Oryctolagus cuniculus: one gene and its partners. The main gene of each other region encodes a partner of the protein of the gene in region 3 in a complex. Links are inferred from orthologs where the notes say so. Each region holds a gene or a part of one and is shown on either strand. Other genes may lie near its edges. The genes, in order: KHDC3L, OOEP and TLE6.

Evidence for each region.
Region 1: TLE6 (region 3) and KHDC3L share a complex: the UniProt entries of both Homo sapiens proteins name them as parts of the subcortical maternal complex. The link is inferred for Oryctolagus cuniculus from reciprocal best matches to the Homo sapiens genes TLE6 and KHDC3L.
Region 2: the proteins of TLE6 (region 3) and OOEP are in contact, whole or in part, in a cryo-EM structure (PDB 8H94), measured with the Mus musculus proteins. The link is inferred for Oryctolagus cuniculus from reciprocal best matches to the Homo sapiens genes TLE6 and OOEP. Residues at the interface, in NP_444484.1 of Mus musculus: Trp256, Ser258, Phe304, Thr305, Arg306, His307, Val318, Asn320, Val322, Asn323, Glu332, Ser333, Asn354, Ser355, Arg356, Leu373, Ala374, Ala375, Pro376, Ser377, Leu378; in NP_080756.1 of Mus musculus: Arg32, Pro33, Trp34, Trp35, Pro37, Gln39, Glu40, Glu67, Trp70, Met71, Gln73, Gln94, Pro95.

The regions. Positions count from the first base shown.
Region 1 is NC_091436.1:99,180,930-99,186,771, reverse strand, and holds KHDC3L (KH domain-containing protein 3), read left to right. Parts: upstream 1-3,016; 5' UTR 3,017-3,201; coding exon 3,202-3,370; intron 3,371-3,524; coding exon 3,525-3,704; intron 3,705-3,970; coding exon 3,971-4,122; 3' UTR 4,123-4,299; downstream 4,300-5,842. UniProt on the Homo sapiens protein: Component of the subcortical maternal complex (SCMC), a multiprotein complex that plays a key role in early embryonic development.
Region 2 is NC_091436.1:99,171,782-99,177,139, reverse strand, and holds OOEP (oocyte-expressed protein homolog), read right to left. Parts: upstream 3,541-5,358; 5' UTR 3,465-3,540; coding exon 3,272-3,464; intron 3,102-3,271; coding exon 2,919-3,101; intron 2,544-2,918; coding exon 2,464-2,543; 3' UTR 2,286-2,463; downstream 1-2,285. UniProt on the Homo sapiens protein: Component of the subcortical maternal complex (SCMC), a multiprotein complex that plays a key role in early embryonic development.
Region 3 is NC_091447.1:59,669,221-59,675,673, forward strand, and holds the start of TLE6 (transducin-like enhancer protein 6), read right to left. Parts: upstream 3,641-6,453; 5' UTR 3,344-3,640; intron 3,260-3,343; 5' UTR 3,236-3,259; coding exon 3,176-3,235; intron 2,708-3,175; coding exon 2,622-2,707; intron 1,345-2,621; coding exon 1,299-1,344; intron 318-1,298; coding exon 276-317; intron 1-275. UniProt on the Homo sapiens protein: Component of the subcortical maternal complex (SCMC), a multiprotein complex that plays a key role in early embryonic development.

The DNA of each region.
Region 1 (5,842 bases), on a different chromosome or scaffold from region 3:
GGAACATCCACCAGGCAACATATTGTAATGGAGATTTTAGGCAATGCCCAACTGGCTGGGGTGTGTTGGGTTGGGATGTTCAAACAGTGAAGGGGGGATTGGGGGTGTCACAGCCCTCCTGGACGCAGATCCTCAGGGAGGCAAACAGTGCCTCACACCATCCCCCAGCCCAGACTCAAGGCCCTACATCGGGTCCTGCTCACAGGACCACGTGGAGCTGGAGGACACGGTGAGGACCCCCATCCCACGGCACTCTGTGCTCCGCAGCCCTGCTAGCCGCAGCGTAACGAGTCTCACAGGTGCTGGCTGGGCATCCCAAAGAGGCGTGCTAGGATGCTAATGGGCAAAATTTCAGCGTTAGTTTGAGCCAGCATTAGGAAGGGTAAACCTTGGAAGACTAGTTATTTCAGCAGATCATTTTTAGGAAATCTTTGTAAACACATTTAAAGGACATTTCTGTCTCAGGAAGGCATTGAAGCAAAAGTCCTCCTAACATATCCTAGAGATCTTACCGTGCTCCACTTCCAGCCCACTCCCCACTGGCATTTTCCTTGTTTCAAGATTTATTTAGGGGCCGGCGCCATGGCTCACTAGGCTAATCCTCCGCCTTGCGGCGCCGGCATACCAGGTTCTAGTCCCGGTCGGGGCACTGGATTCTGTCCTGGTTGCCCCTCTTCCAGGCCAGCTCTCTGCTGTGGCCAGGGAGTGCAGTGGAGGATGGCCCAAGTCCTTGGGCCCTGCACCCGCATGGGAGACCAAGAAAAGCACCTGGCTCCTGGCTTCGGATCAGCACGATACGCCGGCCGCGGCGGCCATTGGAGGGTGAACCAACGGCAAAGGACAACCTTTCTCTCTCTCTCACTGTCCACTCTGACTGTCAAATATATATATATATAATAAAATAAATAAAAAAATCCTTTAAAAAAAGATTTATTTAAGGGCCAGTGTTGTGGCCTAGGGATAAAGCACCACTTGTGATGCCAACTCCACTTGGGATCCAGTTCCCGGCTAATGTGCCTAGAAAAGCAGAAGATGGTCCAAAGCGCTTGGACCCCGGGGCCCCCACAAGATGTCTCCGAGAGAGAGACAGAGAGAGAGAGAGAGAGAGAATCTTCCATATTTTGGTCCACTCCCCAAATGGCCACCCACAACAGCCAGGGCGTGGCCAGGCGGAAGCCAGGAGCCTGGAAGATTTATTTATTTACTTGAAAGGCAGAGTTATAGAGAGGCAAAGTCAGAGAGTGAGAGAAAGAGAGAGAGAGATCTTCCATCAGCTGGTTCACTTCCCAAGTGGCTGAGCTGATCCAAAGTCAGGAGCCAGGAGTTTCTTCCAGGTCTCTCACGCAGGTGCAGGGGCCCAACGACTTGGGCCATCTTCTACTGCTTTCCCAGGCCATAGCAGAGAGCTGGATTGGAAGTGGAGCAGCCAGGACTAGAACCAGTGGAGCAGCCAGGACTAGAACCGGCACCCAAATGGGATGCCGGCACTGCAGGTGGTTGCTTTACCCCCTACACCACAGCGCTAGCCCCCAAGTATCAAATTTTAAATGAATATTTAATTTATATGATTAATATCAACACATTCGGCATTTAACAAAGTGTCAATGATTAGATGTCCTCTTCTCTCACACAGGTCCCACTTCTAAGGAATGATATACATCATACGCGTGTTATGATACACATCAGTCCACAAGGGCCCAGCAAATGCCTGCAATGTGCAAATGTTGTTCTAGGCACTGTGGCCACACAGATAAACAGAAGAGAATTCCCACCCTCATGGTACTTCCAATACCTACTCTATTCTAGGGAGACAGCAGGGAAACCAAAGTGAACAAAATCTTCTTTGTGGAATTTAAAGCCTTAGGAGAGTAAAAAGAGACTATTAGATTTACAAATGTAGCGTGTTTTAAGTAGGGCAAAAGGGGGCAGAAGTGAGGAATAACTAATGTACACCGTGTTCTGAGATTGCTCTATAGAGAGGTCTGAGTGGAAACTTAAAAAGGAAAATACCTGAGGGCTTTTTAAGTTTGTGATTTATTTCATTAGGCAGAGTTACAGAGAGAATTTTCCATCTGCTGGTACACTCCCCAAATGGCTGCGATGCCCAGCCGACCTGGAGCCAGGAGCTTCTTCCGGGTCTCCCACACAGGTGCAGGGGCTCAAGTACTTGGGCCATCTTCCACTGCTTTCCCAGGCCATAGCAGAGAGCCGGATCGGAAAAGGAGCCGCTGGGACAGGACCCGGCGCCCCTGTGGGATACCAGCACCGTTGGCACGCTGTATTTTTCTTCTGAATTTTTTCTGAGAATAAATTGTCCCCCATGAATGAAGATTATGTGTTTCAATATTTAATTATAACGCCCAGCTGAAAGCATCTTTCAGCTGATATCGGCCAGAATCCGTGAACCTTAGCTCCGCTCTCCTCCCCACCCCCGCCTCCGCCCCCTCGGAGCCTGATCCCCTGGCCCACAGTGCCCACCCGCGGTGACTACAGCAGGTCACAGGGGCCCAGTCGCCCTTTCCCTCCTGACCCAAGCTGGCAGTGGCAAAGTCACAGCTCGAGATTTCGGATCGACAGCGGCTCCAGCCAAAGAGGAGCAATTACTCAACAACGCTTTAAGCCGAAACATCAAAGAAAAGAAATAGCGTCGTATCACTTGGAAAATGGAGGCAAAAAAAAAAAAGTTTCAAGGACCCCTCTCTGTTGTCGGTTGTGTGCATGGCATTAATGATGCATTAAGTAAGATACTTGCCCTTGCCGGAGCTCAGAAAACTGGGATACGGCGAGGGGGTGGGGGTGGGGGGGTGGAGCTCATTGGCCAGGGTGGGGAATTTACTTTAGCCCTGAAAGTAAAGTATCATGCCGCAGGTATCAATTCTTTTCTTTCTAAGCGGTATTGTCCAGCTGTTGGTCCCTTCTTTGGTCCCTGGTCCCTCGCGACCCGCGCGCAGTGGGCGGTGAGCCCACCCCCAAGCAGCGCGGCAGGAACTCAGAAACCGCCGCACTTGCGCCGCCTTGAAAAGAAGTCCGGAGCGGAGGCCGGGGGTCCAATGAGAAACGCGCCAGCGGAAGGGGCTGGCCAAAAGCCCTTGAAATACTGCCCCAGCCGGGCCCCTGCGCTCGCCGCCTCCGTGTACGCCTACCTCCATCGCCGCCCCGGGCTTCTTGCTGCGCGGTGGCCCCCCGCGAGGCTCCTGCAGCATGGCCACCCCCAAGCGCTTTCAGACGCTCGTGCAGCTGCAGCAGCGAGAAGGGGAGCTGTGCCAGGTGCTCGGGAACCTCACCAAGCTGCCCAACTGGTTCCACTCCGAGTTCCTCAAGAGTCCGAAGGCAGTTCACCTGGAGGCTTGGCTGGTGGAAGCGATCTTCGGTGAGTGCACGGGTTAGAGGCGGCCCGTGAGGCCTCGTTTGCCCACCCGCCCCGCATCCCTCAAGGCCTGGCCACGCCCCAGCTCCAAGCCCTCCTTTCGCCCAGGATCCTAGGAGACACCCCTCTGCTCACTGCCTCCCTGTTCCCCGCGCAGGCCCCGGCGGGGAGCACATCCCGCACGTCGAGTGTGTCTCCCACACCCTGCTTCATGTGAACCGATGGGACCCTGACGGCGAAGCTGAGATCTTGATATGTGGGCGACCTTATTTTCAGAAGGATGTATCCAAGCTGATCATGAACTTGGCCGACTATCACCGCCAGCTCCGGGTGCAAAGTATGGGCCCGGGAGAAGGCAGGGCGACCCCCAAGCGATTTCTGGCTCCAAGGGAGGGATCCTGGTGTCTCCTGGCTGCCAGGGCAGCAGGCTCGCTTTTCCCCTTGCCCCGAAGGGTTTCGTCTCTACCAGGGATCGAGAAGGCCAAACTGGCCCCGCGTCCTGGGGTTCCGGCCCCCAGCCTCTGTCCGCAGGATGACTTGCCTTTGGGAGGAGGAGGGTGTGGGTGACAAGGGCGCAGTCTCCTCACACCGCTCTACTTCCAGGCTCAGAGAAGGTCCAGGTGCAGGAGGCCGGCACGCAGCGGTCTCCAATCGAAGTGCGCGAGGCCGGGACGCAGCGGTCTCCAGTCAAGGAGCGCGAGCCTGGGACGCAACGGCCTCGAGAGGCTGCCGAGGACCCGGTTACCAGGCTATGAAGAGCCAAGAGCGAGAACCAGCAAGGGCTTCAAGTGCAGATCCCTCAGTAATTCTACTCTTCTAGGTCCTACTGCTGCCCTAGAAGCTGGGGCAGAACGCTGCGGGTGTTTTGTTTTCCCCCTCTGTGTTAATTGCGAGTTTAAGTTTAAGGAGTTCTAATAAAACGAGTTGCATTCCCCTGGCGTGCCTTAGTCGGAAGGTTACCAGGCTTGTTCTTCTAGCAGCCAAGATCTGCTTTACACGGCCTTCCCCTCCGGGGCAGGTGAGGCGCGTTGGGTGTCTGCCGCTCTGGGGCGGGTCCTCCCGGGTTGCGGTCAAGTGTCCCCTGGGGCGAGGGCTCTCGGGCTCCCTGAGCCAGCCCTCTTGGGAAACTGCAAGCCCACTGTGTCTTTTCTCATAGTAATTTAAGATGGGAAAACCTGGAGACGGCTTGCAGCCCTCCTAGATTGGAAGGGCCTCCTGGGCGTATAGCGGAGCTAACACCGGCCATTCCCACCTCGGTTGGGAGAGGATGCTGGGCTCGGCTACCCTTTCACCTCTGATCCCACTGCCTGCGTATGAAGTAGGATGAACACTAACAGCTGTGTGCTAGGATTGAACATTATCTGCATAATACTAGTGTTAGAAATTTTTTTTTCAAAGTTTATTTAAAAATTCAAAGCAGCTTAATTTTAAAGGTCAGGGGAGGCAAAGCGAAAAGCCTAAAGAGGGGTGAACTTTAAGCTCAAAATGAATATCAAAACGAATCATCAGCTTCAAGTGAGGCTGCACTCCAGCAGAAGGAACACTCCCTGTGTGCCTGCTGTTCTGAGAGTAGTACCCCTTTGACCAAAACATCAGATTCTCTGTTGCACCAGAGAGGTTGGTGAGCAGAAGGTAGCAGGCCAACAGAGCATTTAGGGGTCTGCCTATTGATATATAAGCCCAAAATTACCCTGTGTGCACACACACACACGGATGGGAGAGGACTTCGATGAAAGAACAAGGTGGTAGGACACCTCATTAAACATTCCTGGGTGGAGGCTGGAGAGAACCAAGAAGAAAAAAAGTTGAATTTATGGGCTGGCAGCAGGTATCTTTTGTCCACGTATGTGTGTATGTACATGCTTTTCCAGTATCTACCCCTTAAACTATGTTGCTTTATACAATATCCTAACATCTGAGATGGCAAGTGTTCAATTGGTAGTCAAGATCACCTTTTCAAAGGTTTATTTTTAGATATTTGAAAACCAGCATTAGAGGGAGAGATGGAGATCTTGCATCTGGATGTTCATTCCCCACATGGCTGTATCCACTAGAGCTGTGCCAGGCTGAAGCCAGGAGCCTGGAGGTTCCTCTGGATCTCCCAAGTGGATGGCGGGGGTCCAAGCACTTGGGCCATCCTCTGCTGCCTTCTCCAGCCATTAGCAGGGAGCTGGATCTGATGTAGAGCAGCCAGGTCTGGAACCAGCGCCCATAAAGGATGCTGGTGTCACAGGCAGAGGCTTAACCCACCATACTACAATGCTGGCTCCTAGATGATTTTTCCAGATGAAGCAGTTAAAATGCATAAGCTGGTTGAGGGAAAATGTATATACATATGGCTTCCAAAGTTCCTGGTTTTGTTCGAACATTAGAGCTCACGATATACTTACATGAATCGGTGTATTTTGCCAGTTAAGAGGATGGTCTTTGGTCTAGCAGTTAAGCTGCTGCTTAAGGACACCCCCATATCAGTCT
Region 2 (5,358 bases), on a different chromosome or scaffold from region 3:
CATCAGGAAGCTGGAATCCAGAGCAGCGCCAGAACTCCAACCCAGGAACTCCAGTATGGGATGAGGGCATCCCAAGTAGCATCTTAGCCATTGTGCCTAGCGCCTGCCCTGACATAAGTTATAATAAGCCATGATTTTGTAAAAATTCCCACCAAGAAAAACTTGAATATTTATGAAAGTTCAACATGAAAGAAAGCAGCTGCTTCTAGGCTTGATATTAAAGAGTGGGGATGTGGGAAGAGCAGAGAGGTCATTAACTACATTAAATAAAAATCAGGTGCAAAAAATTTAACAAGGTGGAATATGTTGGTAATAAAATTTAATTGTTTACATGAAAAATTCAAGTATAAAATTCTTGCAAAGGGCTAGACCGCCATTATTGGCAAGGGATGAAGAAATTGCATGAGTCAAGATTACCCTAACTTTTTTGAAGTCAGTTCTTGACACCTTGCCTCAAGAATTCTGGCTCTTGGCCGGCGCAGCAGCTCACTAGGCTAATCCTCCGCCTTGCAGCGCTGGCACACGGGGTTCTAGTCCTGGTCGGGGCACCGGATTCTGTCCCGGTTGCCCCCCTTCCAGGCCAGCTCTCTGCTGTGGCCCGGGAGTGCAGTGGAGGATGACCCAGGTGCTTGGGCCCTGTACCCGCATGGGAGACCAGGAGAAGCACCTGGCTCCTGCCATCGGATCAGCGCGGTACGCCGGCCGCGGCGGCCATTGGAGGTTGAACCAACGGCAAAAGGAAGACCTTTTCTCTGTCCACTCTGCCTGTCAAAAAAAAATTCTGGCTCTTCAAAGCTGTGCTGGTGAGGGTAGGAGCTCTTTTGCAGATTGGTCATCACTGAATGGGTAAGGAAAACTACTCAGCCCCCAAGGAATACCTGTGCAACAAGAGCAAGGAAACAGCCAGCTCCAATGCAGGGCACCCTCTGGTCGGCCAAGGGGCCCGCCACCCTGGCTTTTCAGTGGTGAAACTTAGTGCCATCATAAATGCTGGTAGTCTAGGCTAGGCCTGTGTGGGGGAGAGCAACTCACATGCAATGCAGGAGGCACCACTCAGAAAAAGGCACACCTGGTGATCTGAGGGGCAGACTACCAGGGTTGAAGTGAGAACCTCAGAGTTGCTTTGGTCTTACACACAAGTTTGTTAGAAATACAAATTAGGGGTCAGTGCTGTGGTGCAGGTTAATCCTCCGCCTGCAGTACAGTCATCCCAGATGGACGCCAGTTCTAGTCCTGGCTGTTCCACTTCCCATCCAGCTCCCTGCTAATGACCTGGGAAAAAGCATTGGAGAATGGCCCAAGCATTTGGATCCCTGCCACCCACAAGGGAAACCCAGAAGGGGCTCCTGGCTCCTGCATGGCTCAGCCATCTGGGGAGTGAACCAGCAGATGGACTCTGTCTCTCCCTCTAACTTTCAAGTCCGTCTTAAAAGTAGAAGTTAACAGACCTTAACCACATCTTGAGTCAGCATCACTGGACAAAGGGGGCCAGCGTTGTTGTGCAACTGGTTAAGCTGTTGTCTGACACCGGCAATCCATACTGGAGTGCTAACTCCATTTTTAAGATTTGAAAGGCAGAGTTACAGAGACAAAGAGGCACAGAGATCTTCCATCCACTGATCCATTCTCTAAAGGGCCAATCTGAAGCCAGGAGCCTAGAGTTTCTTCCAGGCAGGTTTCTGGCTTAACCTCAGCCATTTGGGAAGTTAGCCAGTGAATATAAAATCCATCTCTAGAGGCTGGTGCTGTAGTGCAGCAGGTTAACACCCTGGCCTGAAGCGCCCGCATTCCCATATGGACGCCTGTTTGAGATCCAGCTGCTCCACTTCCGATCCAGCTCTCTATGGCCTGGGAAAGCAGGGGAAGATGGCCGAAGTCCTTGGGCCCCAGCACCCACGTGGGAAACCCGGAAGAAGCTCCTGGCTGCTGGCTTCAGATCAGCGCAGCTCCGGCCGTAGCAGCCATCTGGGAAGTGATCCAGCAGATGGAAGACCTCTCTGCCTCCTAACTCTTGACTTTCAAATAAATAAATCTTTAAAAAGGAAAAAAAGATCCATCTCTGCCTTTTCCTATCACTCTGCCTTCCAAATTTTTAGAATAGGAAGAGCCTAGGGAACTATTTTAACGAGCTCTCAAATTGATGACCTATCTCAAAAAAAAAAAAAAAAAAAAACCCTAAGTTTCAAAATAAGAGGGGAAAAAAACCCACCTCCTGCCAGCCTTCTACCCACCCCTCATGTCAGATAAACACTCAACCTTTTATAGATTTAAGTAAGCAAAAGTTTATGTCATTGGACAAAAAAAGTCCATTTATTCGAATATCTCTACAAATGCACATTCACATCAGAAGTACTGTCAAGTCACAGGAAAAAGGAATGTAGGGATTAGGGTCACCTGCTTCTCTCCAAGTTTAGAAAAAGCAAGGCTGTTCTAATGCTCTGCTCCTGGCCGTAGTCCTGTGCTCTAAGTATCGAGATGCAGGGGAGCGTCCGGCCCCGATGAACGAGTCTTCAGGAACTCCTCAAGGTGCTTCATCTTCTCCGCTGGAAGAGAAGCAATGGATATCAACCACAGGCAAGGGAAAATGTCGGCTGTTCCCACGTGCTCCGTGCATACAGGAGACGAGGGCGGTGCATCTGGCAAAGTGGGGAGAGGTGAAGGCTCTGAACGTGCCGTCTGGCAACAGGGAAGCAGCCTAGCGAAGGCTGACTTGGGCAATAAGAAGCTTGAATGCATCAGATCTTTGCTTACCTTCCCTAGGTCCTACGTGCACCCCCCCCCCCAAAAGGACCCCCTGGGTCTGCGGGCAGCTTCTGGGGTTTGGGAATGGCAGTAAGTACTGATAGCTACAGGAGGCTGGAAGGGAGCTGAGCAAAGCCAGAGGCTTCCTCCGCCTGCAGCTTCTCCAACAGCCTCACCTCGCGCCACACGACGTTCTCGGTGCCATGACGCCAGGCTCAGGAGAATGCTCTTCACCCGGTTCTGCACACGGGGCCGTGCGTGGACCGTGATTTCCACTAAATTCCCGGAGTCCACTGGGTCCACCCTCAACAGGGCCTGGCTCATCCACTCCATTTCCGGAATCATGGCGCGGTCTGGGCCTAAACAAGTAAGGGGAGAGCAAGTGGAGTCATGGTCAGATCAGAAGGAGCTAGATGTGAAGGTAAAGATGGCCCGGGAAGGGATGAGCCACCCACAGAGCCAGAGCACCCCGGAAAGAGGCCCGGGAGTGGCTCGAGCCTCTCAGACTGGAGTCGCACTAGCAGCTCACCAAAGATCAAGTCCGCCACCCATGCCTCCAGGTAGAACACCGCGGGGTCTTCCAGTTCCTGCACCGGAAACCACCACGGCCGGATGTGAATGCGCGGGGGCGGCAGTGGATGTGGAAACCTAAGTAGGTCCTCTGGGCGGGTCAGCTTCAATGGGTGCTGCCGGGCCTCAGCAGCTCCAACGTCCGTGTCCATGTTGAGAGCAGCAGCTGAAACCGTTCGCACCAACCACCGGAACCTTGCTCCAGACCCGGCAGGCCACGCGGGCTCTTTTATGGCCCAGGTCAGCCCCGCCCACCCGGCAGCAGCACGCCCGCCCAGTTCGGAGTGAGTCTGCGCAAGGCACTCTGGCCCCAGACTTCTTCCACCTGAAATTAGTATTGGTTTGAGATCCATTTGGGTCTCAGGCACGCTCGCTTGGTCATCATCTCTGCAGTTTAAGGTTTCACAGTCTAGGCCGGCGCCGCAGCTCACTAGGCTAATCCTCCGCCTTGCGGCACACCGGGTTCTAGTCCCAGTTGGGGCTCCGGATTCTGTCCCGGTTGCTCCTCTTCCAGGCCAGCTCTCTGCTGTGGCCCGGGTGTGCAGTGGAGGATGACCCAAGTTCTTGGGCCCTGCACCCCATGGGAGACCAGGAGAGGCACCTGGCTCCTGCCTTCGGATCAGCGTGGTGCGCCGGCCACAGCGCGGCGGCCGCGGCAGCCATTGGAGGGTGAACCAACGGCAAAGGAAGACCTTTCTCTCTCTTTCTCTCTCTCTCTCTCTCTCTCTCTCTCTCTCTCTCTCTCTCCACTCTGCCTGTCAAAAAAAAGGTCCCAGCCCTAACTCATACCTGATTAACAGTTTGGATTGTTAACCTTGTTGACTGGGACTCACCTTAAGAGCCTGCGTTAAGATTTGCGTAGTTACCTTCCAAAGACAGGTCAGGCCCTGGGCAAGCTCGAATTTAAGGTTTTCTTGTGTGCTCCTTGTTATCGTAGGACTCTGGATGGTTGCCATTTCAAAAATCATTCAGTGTCGTGGTTTTGTTTGTTTGTTTTTGTTTCTGTTTAAGATTTATTTATTTATTTGAAAAGCAGAATTATAGAGACAGAAAGATCATCCACTGGTTCACGCCCCAAATGGCCACAACAGGTGGGGTTGGGTCAACCAGAAGCCAGGTGTCAGGAGCTCCATCCAGGTCTCCCACATGGATGCAATTAGGTCATCTTCCCTTCTATCTCAAAGTGCATTAGCAGGGAGCTGGATGGAAAGTGGAGCAGCCAGGACTTGAATCAGCACTCATATGGGATGCTGGTGGCTAAGCTAGTGGCTTAACCTGCTGGGACACAACGTAAGCCCAGTTCTTACACATTTTCTATTACATTTCTAGAATTGTTCAGCAGTTTTAGAATAGATACTCATCACATCTGCTATAAAAACTCTTATAATTAGCTGTGTTTTTTTTTAATCTTTTATATGGAAATGTTCTATCACTTATATAAGAAAAGGTACTATTATTAATGCGCTGAATCCCTCATCCAGAGGGCTCTAGGCTGCAGTTGTCATCTATAGATAATATCGGGCAGGCATTGTGGCATAGTAGGTTAAGCCTCCACCTGCAATGCCAGCATTCTGTATGGACGCCTGTTAAAGCCTGGCTGCTCCACCTCCCATCCAGCTCCCTGCTAATGTAGCCTGGGAAAGCTCTGGAAGATGGCCCAAGTGCTCAGGCCCTTGCTACCCACGTGGGAGAACTGAAGGAAGTTATGGGCTCCTGGCTTTGTCCTGGCCTAGCCCCAGCTGTTGCTGTCTTTTGGGAAGTAAATCAGCAGTTGAAAACATTCTCTCTCTATCTCCCTCTCTCTTTCTCTCTAACTCTGCCTTTCAAATAAATAATATTATGTATTCTTAAAAACAATAAAAATATTGAGTGGAGATAATCTAATTTTAGTGGTATTTACTTCTGTATAATTTTTAAAAATCAATGTAATGCCTGCATATTGTTTTTAAAAAAAGTGTTGATGATATAAATATGTGAAGGTTCCTGTTTCATATACAAGCATTTTCCTGCAGTCTTTACTACTCCTTTTTCAACTGTGTATATTAT
Region 3 (6,453 bases):
GCCAGAAGTCCCGCCCGCACCAGGAGAAAGGGGCCAGGTGGCGGCGGGGGAGGGGCAGGGACGCAGGACGCGCTGTGGCTCGGGTGGGCGCCTGCCCCCTCCCTTGCCCACCCCCCCCCCCAGCTCCCAGGCCTGGCACGAAGCCTGACCCCCGAGAGATTCCCCCCTGGGAGAGACTGGAGACGCAGCCCCCAGATGTGGGGGAGCCACCGATCTCAGGCGGGGAGGCTTCCTAGCGTCCCTATGCCCGCAGCCCTCCCAGCCGGCCCACGCACCTGCTCCTGGTGTTCCCGGATGTCCTGTCGAACCTTGTGGAACTGCAGAAGGAAGGCCAGGGTCACGGGCAGGGGTCTGGGGGAGGGGGCGGGGCCAGGGCGCTTCCTCTCCAGCCGGCTCTCTCCCGCAGGGTCCCACCCTGTCCACTGGGCGTGGGTGCCCTCGACCCCCTGCAGCGGGAGGTCAAGAGGTCCCGTGCTCCCTCCCGGCGCTGGGCACCACAGCAGGCCCCGCCCTGCCCTGGACCCTCGCCCTTGGGTCCGTCCCCTTTCTCAGGACAACGGGCGCTGTAACCGTCTTCAGCCTCCTGCTGGCTCGTTCTCGTGCCCGGTCCGGCCAGGCAGCCGCGGGCCACGCTCGGTATTTAAGGGAAGCCACGTTAAAGCCTTGGGTCCGGGGCCTGGGTACCACCGCCACCCACAGCGCCGGCCGGCATCGCACGGGCATGGGCACAAGTCCCGGCTGCTCCACTTCCCATCCAGCTCCCTGCTGTGGCCTGGGGAAGCAGCGGGAGACGGCCCAGTGCTGGGCCCTGCACCTGCGCGGGAGACCCGGATGGAGCTCCTGGCCCCTGGCTCCGGCTTGGTCCAGCCCCGGCCGTGCGGCCCTCTGGGGAGTGACGGAGATCCGCGACGGAAAGCCCATTCTGTCCTTTAGTCCTGTCAGGTGCATTTTCAAAGACTCGACAGTCAGTGGTGAACACTGGGAATACAGAACATTCTGGAACGTTCTAGAAGGCAGGGCCTGCCCCGCTCATGTTCAGTCATCTGCCGCGTCCCTCATCACCCAACCGACCGTAACCACGCAGTTCCAGCTCGCGTGGCGAGATCCGCCCGCAGCCTGGGTGCCACAGGAACGGCCACGATAGACAGCCGGACGCGGCCGCCACGCCTGCGGCCGGCGTTTCCTTGCGTCCTGACGGAGCGCGCGCTCGCTCGCCCCGGGCGTGGGGGGCTCCGCAGCCGCCCCCGGACCCGTGCAGAGCACCCACATGGCAGGGGCAGGCCAGGTGCTGGGCTCACCAAGTACGAGACGTTCTCCAGCTGTGCGGTCACCTCCAAGGGGAGCCTGCGGGAGGGGAGGGGCAAGGCAGTGAGGTGGGAGGGGCACAGGCAGTGAGGCGGGAGGGGCCCCGCCCCGCCCCGAGGGGTGGAGCCTGCGGGAGGGGAGGGGCAAGGCAGTGAGGCGGGAGGGGCCCCGCCCCGAGGGGTGGAGCCTGCGGGAGGGGAGGGGCAAGGCAGTGAGGTGGGAGGGGGCACAGGCAGTGAGGCGGGAGGGGCCCCCGCCCCGAGGGGTGGAGCCTGCGGGAGGGGAGGGGCACAGGCAGTGAGGCGGGAGGCGGCCCTCCCCCACCCCGCCCCGAGGGGTGGAGCCCCGAACGCCAACACCCGCGCCTGGGTTCCAGTCCCGGCTGCCAGCGGTGATGGGTCCCTGCGCCCACACGGGAGACCCCACGAAGCTCCTGGCTTCCGCCTGGCCCAGACCCCGCCCCCAGCCCGCTGCTGCGGGCACTTGGGGAGCGAACCAGCGAACGGCTTTCAAGTAATTCAGAACCCAAAACACTTAGCAAGGCTGCAGTGTCTGAGATGCAGAGCCCGCACCCCCTGTGGGCGCGGGTTCGAGTCCCGGCGGCTCCACTTCTGACCCAGCTCCCTGCTAGGGCGCCTGGGGAGGCCGCGGAGGGCTGGGCGCCGGCAGCTGCGTGCGAGGCCGGGACGGAGCTCCTGGCTCCGGGTGGACCCAGCCCCAGCCAGTTGCGGCCATCTGGGGAGTGAACCAGCGGATGAAGGCCCTCTCTCTGCCCTTCAAAAACACAAATCTTCAAAAAATGTTTTAAAGTGGCCGGCGCCGCGGCTCACTAGGCTAATCCTCCGCCTAGCGGCGCCGGCACACCGGGTTCTAGTCCCGGTCGGGGCGCCGGATTCTGTCCCGGTTGCCCCTCTTCCAGGCCAGCCCTCTGCTGTGGCCAGGGAGTGCAGTGGAGGATGGCCCAGGTGCTTGGGCCCTGCACCCCATGGGAGACCAGGAAAAGCACCTGGCTCCTGGCTCCTGCCATCGGATCAGCGCGGTGCGCCGGCCGCAGCGCGCCGGCCGCGGCGGCCATTGGAGGGTGAACCAACGGCAAAGGAAGACCTTTCTCTCTGTCTCTCTCTCTCACTGTCCACTCTGCCTGTCAAAAAAAAAAAAAATAAATAAAAAAAATAAATAAAAAAAAAAAATGTTTTAAAGTGATGCAAAGCTGAGATCTGAAGGCAGGATTTTCAGAGACGCGAATGCAAAGTCGCCCGGGGCAGGGGCCCCCAGCTCGCTCACCCCCAGAGGGCCCCTCCCGCAGCTGCCCTCACCTGGGGGCCCGCTCGCGGAGGTCTTGCAGGGTGACGCGGCCGTCCAGGACCGGCAGCGCCTCGGAGGCAGAAGTCCCAGGGGGAGGCTGCACGGGGGGGGGGGGGGGGGCAAGGGAGAGAGACGGACAGGTGCGCACACAGGCCCCGCCCACCGGGCCCTCCTCCGCCACGGAGGCCGCGGGGATCGGACCAGGCCTGCTGGGGCGGGGCGAGAGCTAGAGCCACAGCCCTGCTCGGTGTCTTGCTCTCCCTGGGGCGGGGGCATTGGTCGCCTGCTGTGCCCAGTGGGGTGGGGGGTCTCAGACCCGATCCTCTTGACACCTGACGGTGAGGAACCTTCGTGTCCTGGAGCTGGGAGGGGGCTTTCCCTTCAAACCACCCACCAGGTGCTGCGGGGCCCCCGTCTCCAGGTGAGGCGGCCACCCGCTTCATTGCCCGCAGCTGCAGGGGCTGGCCGTGCCGCCGCACAGGTGGGCGTAAGACCAGACGGGGGCCGGGCAGCAGCGCTGGGTGGGAGCCTGGACCCTCACCCCGCCGCGCTGCGCCCTCCTTACCGGGGTGCGCTCCAGGGACGAGGGGGTGCGCCTGGGGCTGGGCGAGCCCGGGGAAGTCATTTCGAGACGGCAGCTTCCAGAACCCTAGGTCGGAGAGCTGAGGCTCGGAGAGGGACCGCCGCCCCAGCCCCCCGCCCCGCCCGGAGCCCCCTACCCGTGGGGGCTCACTCTCCAGGTGGGAGTGGGGATGGCGCCCACAGCAGGTGTCAACGCGGAGCCTCACTTCGCGACGGTTACTGGAAGCGGGGGGTGATTCCAAGGGGGTTTTGCAGAGTGAGCAGGAGTTCCCAGGGTGCGGATGGGGGTGCGGGAGCCGGCCCGACCGCGGACGCCTTTCCCGCCGCCCGCCCCGGCGCGGGAGCCCGGCTGCAGCCCACTCCCCCTCCCGGGAACCGGGGCAGCCGACGACGTACCTCCCGCAGAGCGAGAAGCCCAGGGGTCAGCCGGGTCCAGACCCCCAGCGAGCGCCTCCCCCCGCCCCCGGCCCCTTTGACCCGTCGGGCCCCGCCCCCGCCCAGGCTCCGCCCCCGCCGCGGACCCCAGTCCGCTCCCGACCAGAGCCAGCGTCGCACGTGGGCTCGGGCTCTGCGGGGCGGCCGCCTAGCGGCGCGGACCAATCGCGAGGCCGCCTGCCCACGTGCGCCACGGCCGCCGCCGCTGATTGGCCGTCTCTCCCCGGCCCTCCGGCCCGGCTGTCACTCAGAGGTACCCGGAGCCTGCGCTTAACCGTTGCAAGCCCGCGACGGCGAAGAGCAACTAGCAGAGCGGAGAGCTGGGGCGGGACTCGGGGGTCGGGGCGGGGCCTGAGAGAGGGGCTATATATAGTGCCTGGTGGCCAGCAGCCCCGCCCCCTTTCCTAGCTGCCCACTCCCTGCAGGGGCAGAGTAAAGGCCGGGTGGCTCCCGAGCTGGGCGCCCTGCAGGTGCAGAGCCGGGCCTGGGGCGCGTCCGAGATTGGGGTGGGGATGGGAGTCGTTCCTGGGACAGGGGACGCCTGTATGCGCGTGTGGGCCGCGCCCCGCTCAGAGGCGCCCTTCCCGCGGCCTGTGCCTGGGACACAGGCACAAGGCCTCTCCCCAGCCCTCCCGCCCCCAGAGACGCCCCCGTCCTGGGACACCAGCCCGCACCCCGCAGCCCCTGGGACCCAGGCGCCTCTGCTTTGTCCCTGGGGAGCGTGGCGTGTGGGGGCCGCGGTGCAGGCCTCGGAGCGCCCCCCCCCCCCGCCCCCAGGTTCTGATAGGAGCTCTAACAGCCCGGGGTTGTGGCCGGGTGGTCGGGTGGTCGGAGGGCGGTTTTCCGCAGTGGGCCGCGGCCGCTGGCGTCCTTCGCGGGCCTGGCTGCCCCTTCTCTCGCCGGCTCATCTGGACCTTGTTGGCTCCCGCCCGCACATGTGGCTGTTTAATTAAAATTAATTCAAATTAAATAAAATTTAAAGTCCTGTTCCTTAGGCGCACCGAGTGCGTGCCCGATGTGCAGCCGCCACCTGTGTCTGTGGGGATCTAGAACCTTCCGCGGGGTACCCGGATGCCGGCGCGAGGCGGGGGTGTAGGTGGGGCCTGGAGGTGGCGGCCGCCCCTCGTGGTGGGCGGGGTTGGGGCTGCTGCTTCCGGTTGATGTGAGAACCAGGGACCTGGCTGAAGGTTGGAGAGAGAAGGCGCCTACATCCCGAAAGTTCAGCGGGGAAAGCCCTGGCCTGCAGTCCCCCCCGCATCCGATACGGGCGCCGGTTCGAGTCCCGGCTGCTCCACTTCCAATCCAGCTCCCTGCTGTGGCCTGGGAGAGCAGGGGACGATGGGCCGAGTGCTCGGGCCCCTGCACCTGCATGGGAGACCCGGATGGAGCTCCTGGCTCCCGGCTCCGGACCAGCGCTGGGGAGTGACCCAGCGGATGGAGGACCTCTCTCTCTCTCTCTTTCAACTAAATAAATAATATTAAAAAAATACTTAAAAAAAAAAAAAGCTCAAACTCAAGGACAATAAAGGCCAGTGCGGTCCCTGGGTGGGGAGGGGTCCGGGGTCCCGGGGACCCTCAAGTGACTTCGTTGGGCTTCTTGGACACAGGGAGGTGGTGAGGCGACGGTTCCCAGCCACGCGCCCTCCCCACGTTCCCGGCGAGACCCTCAGGCCTGGGGCAGGCGCGAGAATCGGGGCGCCCGGCGGGGCACCGGCGAGGGGCCGGCAGGACGGGGCAGCGGGGTCCTCTCTCGGGGTCCTGGGGCAGAGCAGGGCGGCCGAGGCCCTGCGCGCAGCCCCCTCCCCCCAGGCCCCCTTCCCCGGGGGGCGTCTGTGCCCGGTGTCTTCAAGGCCCCCTGGCCGGCTACTGGGTCTAGGGGCTGCGGAATCCACGGTGACGTCATCCCAGCCAAGCAAAGCACACCCGGGTCCCTGGGGGCGGGGGCAGTGGCGGGGGCGTCTCAACACAGCTTCTTACAACATTGGATTACTTGAGAGGCAGAGAGAGAGAGAGAGAGAGAGATGTCTTCCATCCGCTGGGTCACTCCCTGGATGGCCACAGCCGGGCTGGGGGCTCCATCCGGGTCTCCCACGTGGGGGGCGGGGCCCCAGCTCTTGAGCCGTCAGTCACCCGTCACCCAGCCTCCCGGATGCGCATGCGCAGCGAGCCAGCTCAGGCCTCAGAGCCGGGCCTGGGCCCCGGGCGCCCCCGGTGGGCTGTCCACTGCTGTGGCATCGCCTGTCCGGGGGTGTTCCCTGTGCTTAGTGTGCGGGGGTCGCAGGCCTGCCCAGGGGGCCCTGCACCCCCTCTGCGCTCCTGCCCCTAGTGGGTGTGGAAGCTTCAGAGGGCGGGGTGGGGTCGTTCGTCCGTGGGTGGCGATGCTCGCCGTCTTGGGGGCAACACCTCGCATACCCTCCCCCTTCCGTTATAGACAGAGAGAGAGAGTGGAAGGTCTTCGTGCGCTGGGTCACTCCAGACGCCCGCACAGCCGGGGCTGGGCCAGGCGCTCCATCCGGGCCCGTCTCAGCAGGTGCACCTGCAGGTTCCACTTCTGCACGAGGGGGGGGGAGCGCTGTGGGGGCGGGGCCGCCTGGGACGCCCGCGCCTCACGGGGAGCGCAGGTGGGAACCCACGTGGCTCTGCCTCGGGTCCGGCCGCCTGCTAAGGCAGCTGGGGAGGCAAGGGACCACAGCCCAGGTCCACGGCCGTGGGGGCCCCGCGGGGAAAGAAGTGGGGCTGGAAGGTATCTCTCCCTGTCTCTCTCCTTATCTCTCTCTCTCTCTCTCTCCCTGCCTCTCTCCCTGTCTCTCTCTCTCCCTGTCTCTC